Linked DNA regions of Astyanax mexicanus. The protein of the gene in region 2 purifies or fractionates together with the protein of the main gene of each other region. This does not show direct contact. Links are inferred from orthologs where the notes say so. Each region holds a gene or a part of one and is shown on either strand. Other genes may lie near its edges.

What was found. Proteins that work in one complex are often made in the same cells at the same time.
Region 1: the proteins of ubqln4 (region 2) and gja1b purify together in Homo sapiens (affinity purification with western blotting; 3 studies listed by BioGRID). This does not show direct contact. The link is inferred for Astyanax mexicanus from reciprocal best matches to the Homo sapiens genes UBQLN4 and GJA1.

The regions. Positions count from the first base shown.
Region 1 is NC_064408.1:81,831,424-81,839,381, forward strand, and holds the start of gja1b (gap junction alpha-1 protein), read left to right. Parts: upstream 1-4,469; 5' UTR 4,470-4,624; intron 4,625-7,958. Other genes in the region: gja13.2 (gap junction Cx32.2 protein), read left to right, coding at 1,538-2,386. UniProt on the Homo sapiens protein: Gap junction protein that acts as a regulator of bladder capacity. A gap junction consists of a cluster of closely packed pairs of transmembrane channels, the connexons, through which materials of low MW diffuse from one cell to a neighboring cell.
Region 2 is NC_064408.1:115,871,926-115,880,078, forward strand, and holds the start of ubqln4 (ubiquilin-4), read left to right. Parts: upstream 1-4,465; 5' UTR 4,466-4,499; coding exon 4,500-4,646; intron 4,647-8,153. UniProt on the Homo sapiens protein: Regulator of protein degradation that mediates the proteasomal targeting of misfolded, mislocalized or accumulated proteins.

The sequences.
Region 1 (7,958 bases), about 34 Mb from region 2:
TACAATCCGACCTGTTACCACCATTAAAAATACAATAAATGCTCTAGTTTAGTCCGGAGGCTCTGCACTGGATCCGTAAGAACTTTCTAGGGTGAAAACTACTTGAATTATGTATTTTAAACAATTAGCCTGTGTATCTAAGCCTGTGCTTAATACTCTAGATATATAAACACTAGTAACACTTAACAAGGTTACATTAATTATCAGTACTAACGACAAAATGTCCCAACTAATTATTAATTAACATTAGATAAGACAGTTATAACATAGTAGGTAAGACAATGTAATCATTACATTTTTTAAACTAATGTCTCAATTAATTCATATTTACATTCTTTATATATATATATATATATATATATATATATATATATATATATATATATATATATATATATGTTTATTGGGCAAACCATAAAAGTAGTACAATCAAGTATATATCAATTACAAGCCACAAACCCCCAAACCACCCACCCTCAGCCATCCCACCTTCACCCATGAAATGAGAATAACTTAAGACATTATATGAAAAGGGCATGGTGGTCTATACATTACAACTTACAAAGATACATAAACACAAATAAATATGCATGTTAAACAAAAACAAAGTAAAACAAAGATATAAACATAATTAAATAAAACACAAAATAAAATACATAAACAAATATTAACTTATAACTAAAAGTATAAAAAAAGGGGAGTGTCACTAATCTTCAGTGTCAGATTGTTGGTTGATGTTTTGTGGATCATAAGAAAGGAGGGGGTCCCAAGTTTTCTAGAATGTTTTCAAGGATCCTCTAATTGTATGCTTAATTGTCTCTAAATACAAAAAGGACATAAGCTCTTTAAACCAGGATGAAGAGCCAGGCCATATTTACATTCTTAAGCAATCAAATTTAACAATGTTTATTCATGTCTTAACTAGTGTTAATAATTAGCTTAGGCATTACTTAACAATTTAACATTGCTTATTACTAAAACATGTTTACAATACAGGTTACCAAAAAAAACAAAACACAGACAATTTTAAATGTTACAAATGTTACAATTTTTATATTTCTATAAAGAATTAATACACATTTTGACAGCGTTTTTAAGCTTCAATTAAATAGTCTTTAACCTTTATTATCGGTGAAAACAGACACCTAAATAAAATAAATAAATAAACTGAAATGTGATTATACAGGAAATAAGAATACATGAATTATCATTTTTGGTCAGCTTTATTTTAACTAACCTAAAAAAAGTAGTAGTTGATGTTCGTTTTTAGATTAACTGTTATGCTGATATATCACTATCATAAAAAAATATTTTATTTTTTGGAAATATATGTTTTTTTTAAATATCTGTAAAAAGGGGTCTGTTAAAATCACTGCTACTCATGAAGATTTATGGAGCATTTTTACGAATATTTTTGGCGCCCCTGCTGCCAGATTGCTGGGGATAATTTTTTTGTCATGTATTGGTTTAACAGTGTATAAAATAATTTGACATTATTTCTCGTTCTCTTCTAGAATAACCCTGAGCACCAAAGAGAATGGGAGATTGGGGGTTTCTCTCGAGTTTACTGGACAAGGTGCAGTCCCACTCCACTGTGATTGGGAAGATATGGATGAGCGTCCTCTTCATCTTCAGGATCCTGGTCCTGGGAGCAGGAGTGGAGAACGTCTGGGGGGATGAACGATCAGACATGACCTGTAACACCAACACGCCCGGTTGTGAGAGCGTGTGCTACGACTGGAAGTTCCCCATCTCCCACGTGCGCTTCTGGGTCTTGCAGATCCTCTTTGTGTCCACTCCAACTCTACTGTACCTGGGCCATGCTATCCATGTCATCCACCAGGAGAACAAGCTCAGGGAGATGCAGAAGTCCAATCAGATAGTGAAATCTCCGAAATACACAGACGAGAACGGCAAAGTGCGAATCAAGGGGAGGCTGTTGGGGAGCTACCTGACTCAGCTGTTTTTCAAAATCATCCTGGAGCTGGCTTTCATCGTTGGGCAGTATTATCTATATGGTTTTGTGATGTTTCCCAGATTTCTCTGCAAACAATCGCCCTGTCCGTTGGAGACAGAGTGTTTCATGTCCAGGCCCACAGAGAAGACCATCTTCATTATCTTCATGCTGGTGGTAGCATGTGTGTCTCTGGCCTTAAACGTGCTGGAAGTGTGCTATCTGTGTTGCAGGAGGATGTGCAGACGACCTAAATCTAGAAGTATGGTGCACTACAACCCACAACACCATTACATGCATCCTCCCTCATTTTCAATAGGCCTAGAAGCTGTGGAAAGTCTGAAGCAGAACCGTGTGAACACCAGCATGGAGAGCAAATGGGCCCAGAGGAGCAGCAGCCCTGCTGCTCATGAAGAAAAGGCTGAACTGTAGAATCGTGACATATGAGAGCAGTGTTTCTCTATCCTGGTCCTGGAGGCACCCTGCCGTGCACATTTTAGAGGTTTTCCTCTAAAAGACTGAAATGTAATTAATCTGTTGAATCAAGTGTGCTGGAAGCAGAAAAAAGGCAATAAATGCAGGAAGAAGAAGGGATGCAGGGTTCCTCCAGGACCATGATAAAGAAACACTACTCCACAGCCACACATCTGAAATGCATTACTAAAGTCTTACACTAGAGGTCGCAGTGCACCTGTTGAGTGAGATGAACTCCTTGGTGTTACAGTGTTACAATGTCTGAAAATCTGTTTTGACCAAAGTGTTGTATTCAAAAGCCTCAGACATATATTTCTAGTACTATTACTCTGCAATACACTTACTTTACTTGTGTTTTATATATTTACATATGTTGCAAATGTGTTGAATGCCCAAATATTTGAGGATCATGTGCAATAAAAAAATGAAACAAAATTAATCATACATATCTATATAATTATAATCATATATAAATGTATACATAAATATTTCTTAAATATGAGAAAAGCTGATGTAACTGATGTACTGGGTCACGCTGTGCAGTTAGTGGAGCATCTCTGTTGGTGTGTTATACTTGAATTAAAGTTTCAGTGTTTTATCATTCCCAAACAAGGGTATATATGGCAGAAATCAAAGTGATGAAGGTAGATATTTCTTTTTTAAGAGAAAATATTAACTCTAACCATGTGTAAATGTCTGTTCTGACCGAATTGTTGTTTTCAGAAGCCTCAAAATTCATATCTCTTCTGCAATGAACATACTTTTTTTACTACTACTATCATTTTTTTTTATATTTGAATTTGTTCTAAACGTGTTTGATAACCATATTTTCTGTGTTTCAATCAATAAATATAAATAAAAAATATCTAAATATAAAAACTGATGCAAATGATGAACTGAGAAAAACTGATGCAATTGATGAACTGAGTTACAATGTGCAGTTTAATGGAGAATCTCTGTTGGTGTGTTCATACAGTACCAGTGAAAAGTTTGGACACATCTCATTCAATGATTTTCTTTATTTAAAATGTGATTAAAACCCCCAATATATTTCATTACATACTGGTGGACATGTTTTATTATTTTATCTTAAAGGTAGTTAAATTTAAATATGTTAGAACATTATATTCATCTTATCAGTTATTGGTATTGTGTTTCATGTAGGTTTGGTTTGCAGATTACTTCACCTCGATGCAGAATGTTGAACTAAACTCTTCCCCTCATTTTATTTGATGGATGCTTCTTTTGAGACATTATATAAAAAAAAGGTATAATGAACATAATGTAATTATGAAAAAAATGGTTTGTTGCCTGAGGGCAACCCCATGCCATAAAGGATTCATGTATTTTCTACATTGTAGATTAATACTACATACATGGAAGTTATTAAAACTACTAAGGGGCACATATGGAATTATGTAGTAAACAGTAAAAACCGCTATTCCTCCACAATCCTCTGACCTGAACCTGATCAACTGAGATGGGGAATTTTAAGATTTGGGATGAGCTGGAGCAGCAACTAAAAGCAGCAACTATAACTGTTGTTCAGCACCTCCAGAAACTCCTTAAAGACTATTCTAGGTTACTACACTGAGATTAAAATCTCAGTGCAGATCTGTCCTTAAAGCTTAATGTGCTACTTAGAAGAATAAAACATAGTCTGGTTTGTTTATAACATAATTCCATGTGTTCATGGATAGCTTTAATATTAAATTTACTATATAAACATATATAAATAGAAAGAAAATCATTACATGAGCAGAGATGTGTCTAAACTTTTATCTGGTACTGTAGCCTGCATAAAGTTCTGCATTAAGTTTTAAAAGTTTTTTTTTTTACAGAGAACAAACTCTATGAAATTAGTTGATAAATATTTTTTTATGGAAAACAAATGAGATTCAAATCAACAAGTTTCTTTTCCAGGAGAAAATATTCACCAAAACTCAGAGTAAGGAGATAAAAAAACTCTGACGTAGGGGGTCACATGACTTCTGTAACTTTGGTGCTTGCTCACTTTTCTTTTTTTTTCTTCTCACCGCCGCACGAAAGTCTCTTATAAGCGAGGAAAGTTTGACAAGTGTGCCTCAGTTTCTCTTGGTCCCCCCGAGCAGGATTTGGGAGAAAGCGGTGTGAGCTCTACAGAAGTGACGGAGAAAGTCCCTCAGGACTCTCTTCTGCTTCTCGGTGACTCTCCAGGTAGGTGAAGAAGACTTTTCTCCTGACTTCTTCTAACTTTTCTGTCTCTCCTTTTTACAGTTTTCACTCGTTTTTTTCTGTACTGGAAAGCCGAGTGCGGCTCTGGAGAGCTGCTTTTCCACAGAAACTCCTTACAGCGAGTGCGGCTCCTCACAGCTGCCTATATTTAGCTGGATGGCTAAACCATCAAAAACACTACATTTACCTTCAGGGTGTTTGGGTTTGGCATTTCATTCACGCCTTTTCCTCTCAGACTGGGCTACGTCCTGCACTGTGAGCGAGAGGAAGCCTTAAAAACACTGGAAATTATCACAGAAATACAGAAAGAAACCCTGCATTTTCTTATATTTGGCTTTAGGAGAAATACAACAAATGTGAATATTATTTTTCACTGGTTTCTGAAACCATCGGAGCAGCATCAGCACTGAGAACTGTGGGGGGGGCTAGGCTAGCTAAGTTAGTTAAATTTTTCTGAGATATAACAAAAATACAGAAAAAAAAAAAAAAAAATATATATATATATATATATATATATATATATATATATATATATATATATATATTACATAGAGCTTTATAATAAATGAGATTATTCTAGGAATCATTTATAAATGACACTAAATTGAGACCATTCTGTCTGGAAAAAAAAGTTTAAACCACATGTGAGACACATAATTATGATATAAAAAAAAGGTGGGTTGAAGAAGCAGAAGAAAAGTGTTTCAATCTCACATTGGCCTCCAACACGACTTAACCATGTCTATGAGAAATAATAATACCAAGAAGAGAGCTCAGAAACGTCTCATTAAGTCTTAATCAAGTAATAATACTTTAATAAGCAAAAGAATAGTGCTTCAATTTTACATTGTTCACAAAGAGAACTTGTCTATGAGAAATAATAAGCCTAACTTGAGTATATCTTTCCTCTAAAGTCTCATAAAGTCTTAATAAATGCTTTAAAAACTAGAAATATAATTCGAAAAGTACTGATTTCTACAAAAAGTCTCAGAAAGTCTTAAAAAGTGATCTCTACAAATAATAGGAAGTCATGATTTATTATTTCAATCTGTTCTGAGCATCTCCATGTTTTAGCACATTTTAGTTTTTCTCTCTAAATTCAACATTTAATCCCTGGAGCAGTATAAAATCCCGCTGCTGTTTGCTGTCTGACCACTGGCTCATGTTCTCAGCTCTAATGCTGAGCCCTGGCTCGCCCTCCACCACCCCTATGCCTCTGTCTCTCTGGAGAACTTCTGCTTAAATCACAGACTACTGAGACTCATTTAGTTCAAGCGCTTCTGTGGATTCTGACAGGATAAAGCAGCAGTTGGGCCTAAAGACATGCATGTTTCTATAAGAGCAAAAGGTTTAAAGAGCACCAGAAAGTCTCGTAGCATCTGCTCTGTTTGTGGAGAAAAAATGAAAAAAGAGGAAGAGAAACAATCCGTGTATCATTCGTTCATTTGATATTCAATTGAGAATCAAAATCGGAAAATTAAAAAACCAATTCGTTTTTTCGTTTTTTCGTTTTTGAATATAATACCAAAAAACGAATAACGGCTTGTATTTTGTATTTTTATTTGGTTATCCAAACAAAAATTGGAAATTTAAAAAACGGACCAGGAGCCGAATTTGATTTTGATTTTGAACTTGACCCATTTGTGTGCCCCGGAAGTTACTGATTTGTTTATTCTTGGTGGGTTTCTGTTGCGCGGGAGTTCACTGCAGTGTTATCTACACAGTCTGTATTGCTGTAGGCAGCATGGCCGGACTGGAACCACATTCTGGCCTAATTAAAGATCTTTTTGAAGGTGGTAAGACGCATGAAGAGATTTCGTGCACGTTGCAGCAAATGGGGATCCAGCGATGTTCTGCAATGAGTGTTAGAAGGTTCTGTGTTCAACACGACCTTAAGCGAAAAAGACATGTATTTTCTGTTGTCATATCGTCTTCTTTCACTGCAACGCGTTTAGTTCCTCTGAACAAGATAAAACTCTCCATCCTCAACTCCATCCAAAGCCTACAGCAATACAGACTGTGTAGATAACACTGCAGTGAACTCCCGCGCAACAGAAACCCACCAAGAATAAACAAATCAGTAACTTCCGGGCACACAAATTGGTCAAGTTCAAAATCAAAATCAAATTCGGCTCCTGGTCCGTTTTTTAAATTTCCAATTTTTGTTTGGATAACCAAATAAAAATACAAAATACAAGCCGTTATTCGTTTTTTGGTATTATATTCAAAAACGAAAAAACGAAAAAACGAATTGGTTTTTTAATTTTCCGATTTTGATTCTCAATTGAATATCAAATGAACGAATGATACACGGATTAGAAACCCACTGTCTCATCCCCTGGGCTAGGCCTGTCCCGATAAACGACAATTATTGTCAGTTGAAGACCATTTCATGCCACTAATATAATAATGATAACAGCATGATAATGCAAGGATGCATTTCTTTTAATGAGCAGGTAACTTAAAATTATTAAGAATGCTTAGACTTCAGAATTTGAAATATAAAATTAATATTACATATCTTAAACAAATGAAATATAGTAAAAAATAATAGAGCTACTCTTAAACCAAGTCAACTAGACTAGAACTCTTCTTACTGTATGCAGTATTAAGGGGAATATACATATTGTATTAATAATGTAACTATTGTGGCAGGCCTACCCTAGGTGTTTGCCGTCTACACATTAGTGAGATAAAGGCAGAAATAGCCTTTAGTTTGGTTTTTTTTCTGTCTTGTTGTGTGTACTGAGTTTTAGCTTTAGTAGCATTTATTTCATGTATCATTCCATTGGGCTACTTACAGTCTTATATTATATTATATTATTATATATATATTATAGCAACAAAAGAGATGAGATATACTATATGATTCAATACATTACAAGATTATAGTGAAGAACAGCATTTTTAAGACTATATTACACCTACAGAATAAGCCTGTCAAGACTTATTCTAACAAGTTGGCATTGATGCTGTTTTTGTCCTTTTGCCAAATCACACAAGTTAGAATAAGCCCTTGCCCCTGCAAAAGGCCCTTGTACACTAGTTATAATAAGCCAAGGTTTGTAGATCAATCATGAAATAAGGCACCTATTGTGCCTTATAAAATTCATACAGCTTTCTGTACATACATGCATGCATACTGTTTCTATATACACAGTATGTACTACTATAACAGCATACATTATTAATGTTCTAAAAGTGATAAAAACATGATCATTACACTGTTCAATTAGAAAGAAATACTTAACACCTCTCAACACTTTCTGCTTTTTACATCATTGTGTATTTTTGATACTCATAGACTTTGGAATGT
Region 2 (8,153 bases):
TATTACCATGCTAAGGCTAGCAAAATAGAAGAATAAAATTTACCCATTTTTTACCCATTTCCAACATTTTTCTTTTTTGAAAGCAGAACTAATAGCACCATTTGTTTAAAATAAAATAAATAAAATGTTTGATAACTGCTGCTAATCATATGTAGACATAAACAGAGAAAGTAATCAAGTAATCAAAAAGCTGACAGTTAGTACTTTTTATTCAAAAATATATTTAACTTTTATTTATTTTCTTAATACCTGTATACTGCAAACAGTGGTAGAAATAAACTGCACCAAACTGAACATCTTACATTTCTTAAATTCCAAATAATTTAAGAAAAAACAACTCCTGCTATTTTATTAACCCTTGTGTGGTGTTCGGGTCTGTGGGACCCGTTTTCATTTTTCATCAAATGATACTAAAAAATATTTTTTCTAACTCAAACTCATTGGCATTGGCTCATTTTTTGTGAAAAACATATATCAAAACACATTTTCGATAAACACACACTGTCCCCCCCCTACACATTTATATTACATACAGTCTGTTTGGCCAAGGGCTAATAAACATTGCTTCATTTGTAAATTTGAAACTAAACAAATTTTCTACTCATATCTTGAGTTTAATTCATTTTCTTTTACATTTTATTAAACTAATAAAAAAGATTAGCACTTTTTGAAAGAAATGTAACATAAGAAAGGTAAAGGGCAAATATTAACCATGTAAGCTGTTTATATTGCTTGCAATTTAGGTGAAGCGAGCATGTGTAAAGCATTTTAATTGCTTAATTTTGCTGAATTAAATACAAGTAACAAAGTAAACGAGTAACAAAAATATGAACACCACACAAGGGTTAAAGTTATCTATGTAATCCAAAATTAGAATTAGCTTTTTTGAATTGGTTTATTCTTTATTAATATGGCATAGTTTCCTCTTAAGTTACCTAAACAACTTCTACCCATAGACGTCTGGGTTTTTTCTTATTACAAAATTGAAAAATGTACTTTTGTTCTTGGACTGAAATCACCTTACAAGAACAAACTCAGTAGAACACAAGAATATAGGACCAATATATGCAGTGCACTTGCTATTTAAGGATATTAAATAATACTCTACACTCTCAGGTTATTGAAATATTGTCCTTGGTTTTTAAGACAGAGCAATAACACATCTGGGAATTTTCTTGATAAATGCATTCTTGAGTAATCTCAAGATTAAGTTCATCTGTAGTTATGAAACAGTCCAGCTTCTTAATAAAAGCAATATCTCAGAGTTTCGTGTAAGATATTTGTGTAAACCTTCCTCCAGAACAGTAAGACCCGTCTACACACGCCACACTGGAACACTCTCTCTCTCTATTTCTCTCCTTCCCCTCTCTCTTTCTCTCTCTAATTCTCTCTCTCTCTCTTTCTTCTTCTTCCTGTCTTGTTCTCTCTCTCTCTATTTCTCTCCCTGTCTCTCATCCTCTCTCTCCTTCCCCCCTTCTCCCAGTCTCTTTTTTCTTTCCTTTCTTCTTACTCACTCACTCTTTCTCTCACTCTCCCTCACTCACTCTCCCTGCCACTCTAAAATTGTATTGGTGGTCTGGAAGTGAGGTGTGTTCAGATCAATTTCTGGCATATTTCCCAACTTTTACATCAACAAAAAACTAAATACTATTAAAATAATTAATAATAATAACAACATTGCTGTTTCTGTAAATGATCTGCTCATACATCTGTACAGCGTGAACAAACAAGTCAGTTTTCTCTGCTGAAAAGCGCAGAAGCGCTGGTATAAAATACCAATCCGCCAAACTCAGAGCGCACCTGGCTCTTAAAGGGAATGGCGAGTGACACAATGATTGGTTTATTTACAGTATGCCCTTTGCACTTTTTAACCCTTTGAACCCTATGGACGAATTTTCCTTCCAAAATCGCACCTTGTGTTCTCAGCTTAATTACTCAGGAATCCCTTCACACATTAACATAATCCATATATGATTAGAAAGGGAAGAACTTACTCTTTCTAAAAATAGTGATCACATCCCAGTACTTACTGTAGCATCTACAAAAAACCCATTGAGAAAAACACATAATAAAGTGGGATCTCCTGCCCCAACCACTATTATTTACCTTTAGTGCTTCAAACACATTTATATGATGTTTCAAACCAAATAAATAAAGACTCAAAAGTGTCCACAAAAAAAGTGTGAAACTACCTGCTTTACTCAAACTAAAGCTAGGTATGGTGTGCGCACTACTTTATATAGTTTTTATTTTACTTGCACATTTTTATTAAGTAGTTATTTTGCACTAAACATTTTTATTTATTTAGACTGAAAAGTTACATTTTTGTATCTAGTTTTCTTTGTGTGTCCTGATTAAAATACTGAAAGGCATAGTCTGCTCTGAGTGTCAGGTTTTTAGTATCTACATGTATCCTAGAGGTGTGATTATTGATTATCAAGATAAATAAATCCACCTGATGCTGTTTCTCCATGTATTTTGTTAAAGTAATAAATAATAAGCTATGTAATGAACTTTCATCAATATTCTTATTATTTTAACTCATAAACACTCTAGTCTAACAGTTTTTGAAAAGATATCTCAGGTGTAAATATATTTTAAAGTCTATAGATTCAAAAATAAGTTAAAAAAAAAAAAAAACAGGCACTTGGTAAAATTTTGACCAAAACATGATCAGTTCCCTTTTACATTTTAAATGATTATATTTTTGAGCAGTCGTATGTCTTCTGGAGTAAAAGAGATCAGGGCATGTGACTGTCTGATATAATTACTGTGTTATAAGACCTGAGTTCATAGGGTTAGATAGAAACAGCCTAGGGTTCAAATGGTTAGACAGACAGACAGACAGACAGATAGATAGTTTTGGAACTTTTGGCCATCCAGCAGCAGATATACACAATACACAACAGTTAGTAAGGAAGGATAAAATAAAACAATACTATGAAATATAAAGTATAAGTACAGTAGTGTGTAATGGAGGTAGTGCAGTTGAACACATTAGACAATGAACACCAGTTGATGTGCATATTATGAGGGTAACTGATGCCAGCCATACAAAAGGTGCAAATACATAGTTATATAATAATTTAAATTTGCAGTGCAAAAACTACTAGTGCAAAATGAATCTGCACAGAACTTTACTGTAGCTGAAAAAGACTTGGTCAGGTCCAGCATCCTTCCTACATTTCTACCTTAGCAAAATCTGACCTCATGCTGCCTACAGTAAAGAGATGGTGCTATGGTACTGGTGAGTGGAAAGGTGAATGGTGTACTGGTACCATCTACAGGGCAGAGTGGGCAATGTTCTTAAGTAAACTGATCCCCTTATACTGAATCTAATAAATATCAGCATGAGCCTTCTTTTACCCATTATAGAAAAAAAAAAACATATAAAACAGAACTATTTGTTCCTGATGTGCTTCAACTGTTTTAAATTCATTTAAAAAGTGTACAAAGACCATTACAACCATTATAATTAAAATCTTGTTGCTTTCAGAATGGTGTATTTAATGCGTGAACGTATTCTGTATTTATTTATTTATTTTAGTTCCATCAAACATTGTTTGACACCCAATTTCAGGCCAATATAGGCCCAATATTAATAATTGGTTGACACCCAACATCGGGCCAACATAGGCCCAATATTAAACATCGGTTGGCACCCACCATCAGGCCAACATAGGCCCAATATTAAACACCAATTGACAACCAAAGTATAGGTCCAGTGTCAAATAGCGGTTTGCATCCAACATCAGGCCAACATACGCTTAACGCCAAAAATTGCCAAAGTAACCAAAGTCAATATCAGTAAATTTACCCATAGTACATGTAATTCGTTATTTTTTTCATATTTTGTCACAAAGTGTATTAATGTAATATTAATGCAGTTTCTCTGATTTTGCTATTTATAGGTATATGTTTGAGTAAAAATAACATTGTGGTTTAATTTTATTTATTTTTATAAACTACGGACAATATTTCTCCCAGATTCCAAATAAATTTGCTTTTATTTGCAGAAAATAAGAAATGGCTGAAATAACAAAAAAGATGCAGAGCTTTCAGACCTCAAATAATGCAAATAAAACGAGTTTATAGTCATAAAGTTTTAAGAGTATAGAAATCAATATTTGGTGGAATAACCCTTGTTTTTAATAAAAGTTTTTCATGCATCTTGGCATGTTCTCCTCCACCAGTCTTGCACACTGCTTTTGAATAGCTTTATGCCTTTACTCCTGATGCAAAAATTCAAGCAGTTCATCTTGTTTTGATGGCTTGTGATCATCCGTCTTCCTCTGAATTATATTCAGAGAAACTCTTTAAGTTTTTAAGTGGTCTCTTATTTTTTCTAGAGATGTATATGTGTGTGTGCGTGTGTGTGTGTAAAAGTGTGACTGGGCGCGCGCGGCTCCGCGTGGGGGCGCTGTTTCCGGTCCGCTCTTGTCGCTGCTCTCGCGGCTCTTCTCGCGGTGACGTGATGAAGTGAAGAGAGCAGAGAAAAGATGGCGGAGAACAGCGGCGCGGACCCCGCCGTGGAGGGAAAATCCGAGGAGAATGCGGCGACCGGCGGCACCATCATCATGGTCACCGTCAAAACGCCCAAGGACAAGGAGGAGATCGCCATATCCGAGGACGCGTCCGTCTCACAGGTAACCCGGGCCGCCGCCGCCGCTCCGTGTGTTCGTGTACATGTAGCTGTGTGTGTGCGGGTGTGTAGCTGTGTGTGTGAGAGCGGCTCAGTCAGCTGTCCGACATGAATCGGCTGATCCAGAATCAGCGGCGATCAGTTCAGCGCTGCTTTTCGGGCTGAAACCGTCTGTGTAACTCACATTTGAACACACAGCTTTAATGTTACACTCCTTATTAACTGGTGTGTGCGGGTTTTGAGTGGGTAGTGCGGATTTAACGCAGCATTTATGAGGAAAATGAAGAGGAGAAAGTCGGCCTGGCTCTCAGTTCATACCTGGTGTTCCGTCGAGTTCTGCTAGCCGTCGAATTTGTGCAGCTCAAGCGTTCTGCGCATGCGCGGACGAATTGTTCTTTAGACATATGACGTGTTTTTCGTGATGATTCTGTTTTTAAATCATTTTAAACTTCATTTCTATCCACCCCATTCAGTTTGTAACTGTTTTATTTAGGTTTATTTACATTTTAGTTTATTTAGTTTATTATTTATGTTCGTTATTTTTTATTTTATACTTTGTTGTAGCTTTTGTCATTGTATTTTTACATTTTGTTTCATTTTATTTTCCGTTTTGCCTTTTAGACTATTCCATTATCATTTGTTTTGTTTTTATTTGTTGATTTTAATGTCCAGTCTTCATTTGATTTTATGTATTTTATTTTATTTACACTTAACATCACCTTCCTTTTATTGTTTTTAGCTACTTAAGAAAATTTTGTATCTGTTTTATCTAGATTAAGAAGCTATATATATTTTTTTTACAATTTGTCCTCTTAATAGGATTTTCTGAGAAATATTTTAGCATTTTGAAACATTATAACCCATAGCATATACTATACTTATATTCACGATTTTAATTAAAATCATTTTAAACTTGTCCTCCACTCAGCTTGTAGCTGTTTTTGTTTTTTTATTTTAACTTTTCATTTTCACTTTTTATTTCATAGTTCATTTTAGCTAGGTAGCCTCATTGTACTTTTTTTTTGACAGATTTTATATTTTTCTCTTTTAATTTTCTTTTACGTTTTGTATTGTCTTTTTATAATGTCTTAGTAATAAGTCTTTATTTGATTTTATATATTGTATATAGTTTGCACTTTTCTATCCTTTTATTGTTAATTAGCTTATTATTTTCCTCCGGGCTTTTAGCTACTTAAGATTCTTTTTAGATTGAGAACCTATATACATTTCTCTTTTTCCCGCTTAAAAGGAATTTGTAATATGCTTATTTTACCCTTTTTGAGTATTATAACCCATATTAAAGACTGTTTTATTTATTTATAGCGGTTACACAGCCTTATCTATAGTAAGGTGTACATTGTAACTAGACGGTGGTAGCAGGTTTCGAAAGGGTAGCACAAATCGACAGGACACCCGGCTAGCTTCTATGGCGGCAGCGCGTAGCTAGTTAGCTATTCCTTCCTACTGAAACAACCTCTTTTTGTGCGTGTAAAGGTTTTAATCGCTACTTTAACCCTTTATTATCAGTTTAACGCGATTAAACACGGCAGGTTTGCTTCATAAGTGCTCGTTTTGTCTCTCTGGAGAGGGTAGCGGCTGTTCTGCGCACTGTCTGAGGCGACGGCAGATCGAGCTCGGTTGGCTACCGCTAAGTAAGCTAGGCTGTTAGCATTAGCTTAATATTAGCTGAGTTAGCCTAGCCGTTAGCTTAGCTACGGAAGGTTCTAGCCCTACAACTCAGCTGCTAATTTTTACTTAGTCATTTCCCCTGTTTTAGAGGGTTTTATTCACCTATAGTGTCCAAAAGGAGGCGAATTAGGCCTGAATTCACTATATGAACACTGATGTTTCACTCAAACGCAGCTAGTTAGCGATATAAACACGGTTTTAGCCGGTTAACCTGCTAATTGTTGATAATGGGGATTTAATTAACAGTGATGGTTAGCTAGCTAGTTAGGTTGGTTACTAATGTTTTAATGTGGATTTAAAGCAGATTAATGAGCTGGTAATACATTTTGTAGGTCTATATCTTTAATAAACATCAGGTTCAATCTGTCTATTTAAACTCGAAATACATTGAGGGTTTCACTCATTTACAATGTAGCCAAGCCAGTACACAGGTAAGGGACTGTCAAAGAAAAAGAATGAATAAATAAATAAAGACCCAGAATTTTAATAAGATTTTAAAATTACATCTCAAACAAATGAGATAATAAGAATAAGAAATTAGTTGGAATTATAAATTTACAGGTTAAAGGTAATAAAAATGTAAGGTATGCAGTTACAGATGAATGAATGAACAAATACATAAACTTGATTAAAATAAACCCTTGTGTTTCTCTCGAGGAGCAGGAGAGAACCAGCCAACTTTTCATACACTATTTTTTATTCAGTTTTTTGCTTTATTTTGTCAGCTTGCTAAAATGTCCATCCCTGTGCAGATGAGAGATTCCCTGTGTTAGATATTAGTAGTTTGTTTTATTATTTTATCTGGACCCTCTCTTTTATTTTCCTACAGGTCCAATAGACATGGCATACGTACCAAATATAAATCGTATGTCATAATTAAACTACGTATATAAAAATCTATACAAATAAATAAATAAGGAAAATAGAAAAACAACTACAACATATAGTTGTTTACAAAATGTGGACGAAAAAAAAAGGGGTAATGTTTGATATTCACAGTACATGTTAATAGTATACTGTTTGTGGATTTACTGGTATTTTGTCTATGCTGTAATTTGATAGTGGCCAATAACTGATTAGTTATTGGTTACATTTGTAGTGTTTTTTTTATGCTCAGTACATCTTAGTACGTCTTATGAATTGTAAAAAGAAATGAAGTTTTATTTATAAAGTTTTAATACATAATACACCGTCTCTGTTTTTACCGGTGTTCTGGGTACGTATTAATTTGATTATGCTGTTTGATAATTTGGTGTTTTTGTTTATGAAAGCTATCTTAATCTGCTGTTTATTGAACATTGTATCATATGTTTACACAATCTTTGTGTACACTGAGGTAACTTTCTGTTTGATTTTAAATGAATGAAAAAATGTTAGCCCTTTATGAGTCATTATTTATATTGTGTTAAATTTAAGATTGATACGTTTGATTGCTTTACTCAGAGTAGATTAAATAATCAAAGAATATGAGGTTACCTGTATACCTGATTGTATAGACAAATTTAAGTGTTTAAGCTCTAATGTTGAGTGAAAACTGAAGATTAATCCTCTATTTACTGATTCAATAATTTCCTGGATCTGACTGGCTTTGTTGGTTATTTATATATTTTGTTATTTAGAATTATTATTTTATAGATTACAGATTATATAGATTATTTGTGTATTCACTGTAGTTTTACAGGTGTGTGTTTAAATGTTCATTTGATTAATTGTTTATGCTTTGTTGTATGTAATTTTTAGAGGCTTGTTCCTTATTTATTTGCTCAAACCAATCACAAATGAAGGTTTATGCTTTTTTTTATTCTTGCTTAAACAGACATTT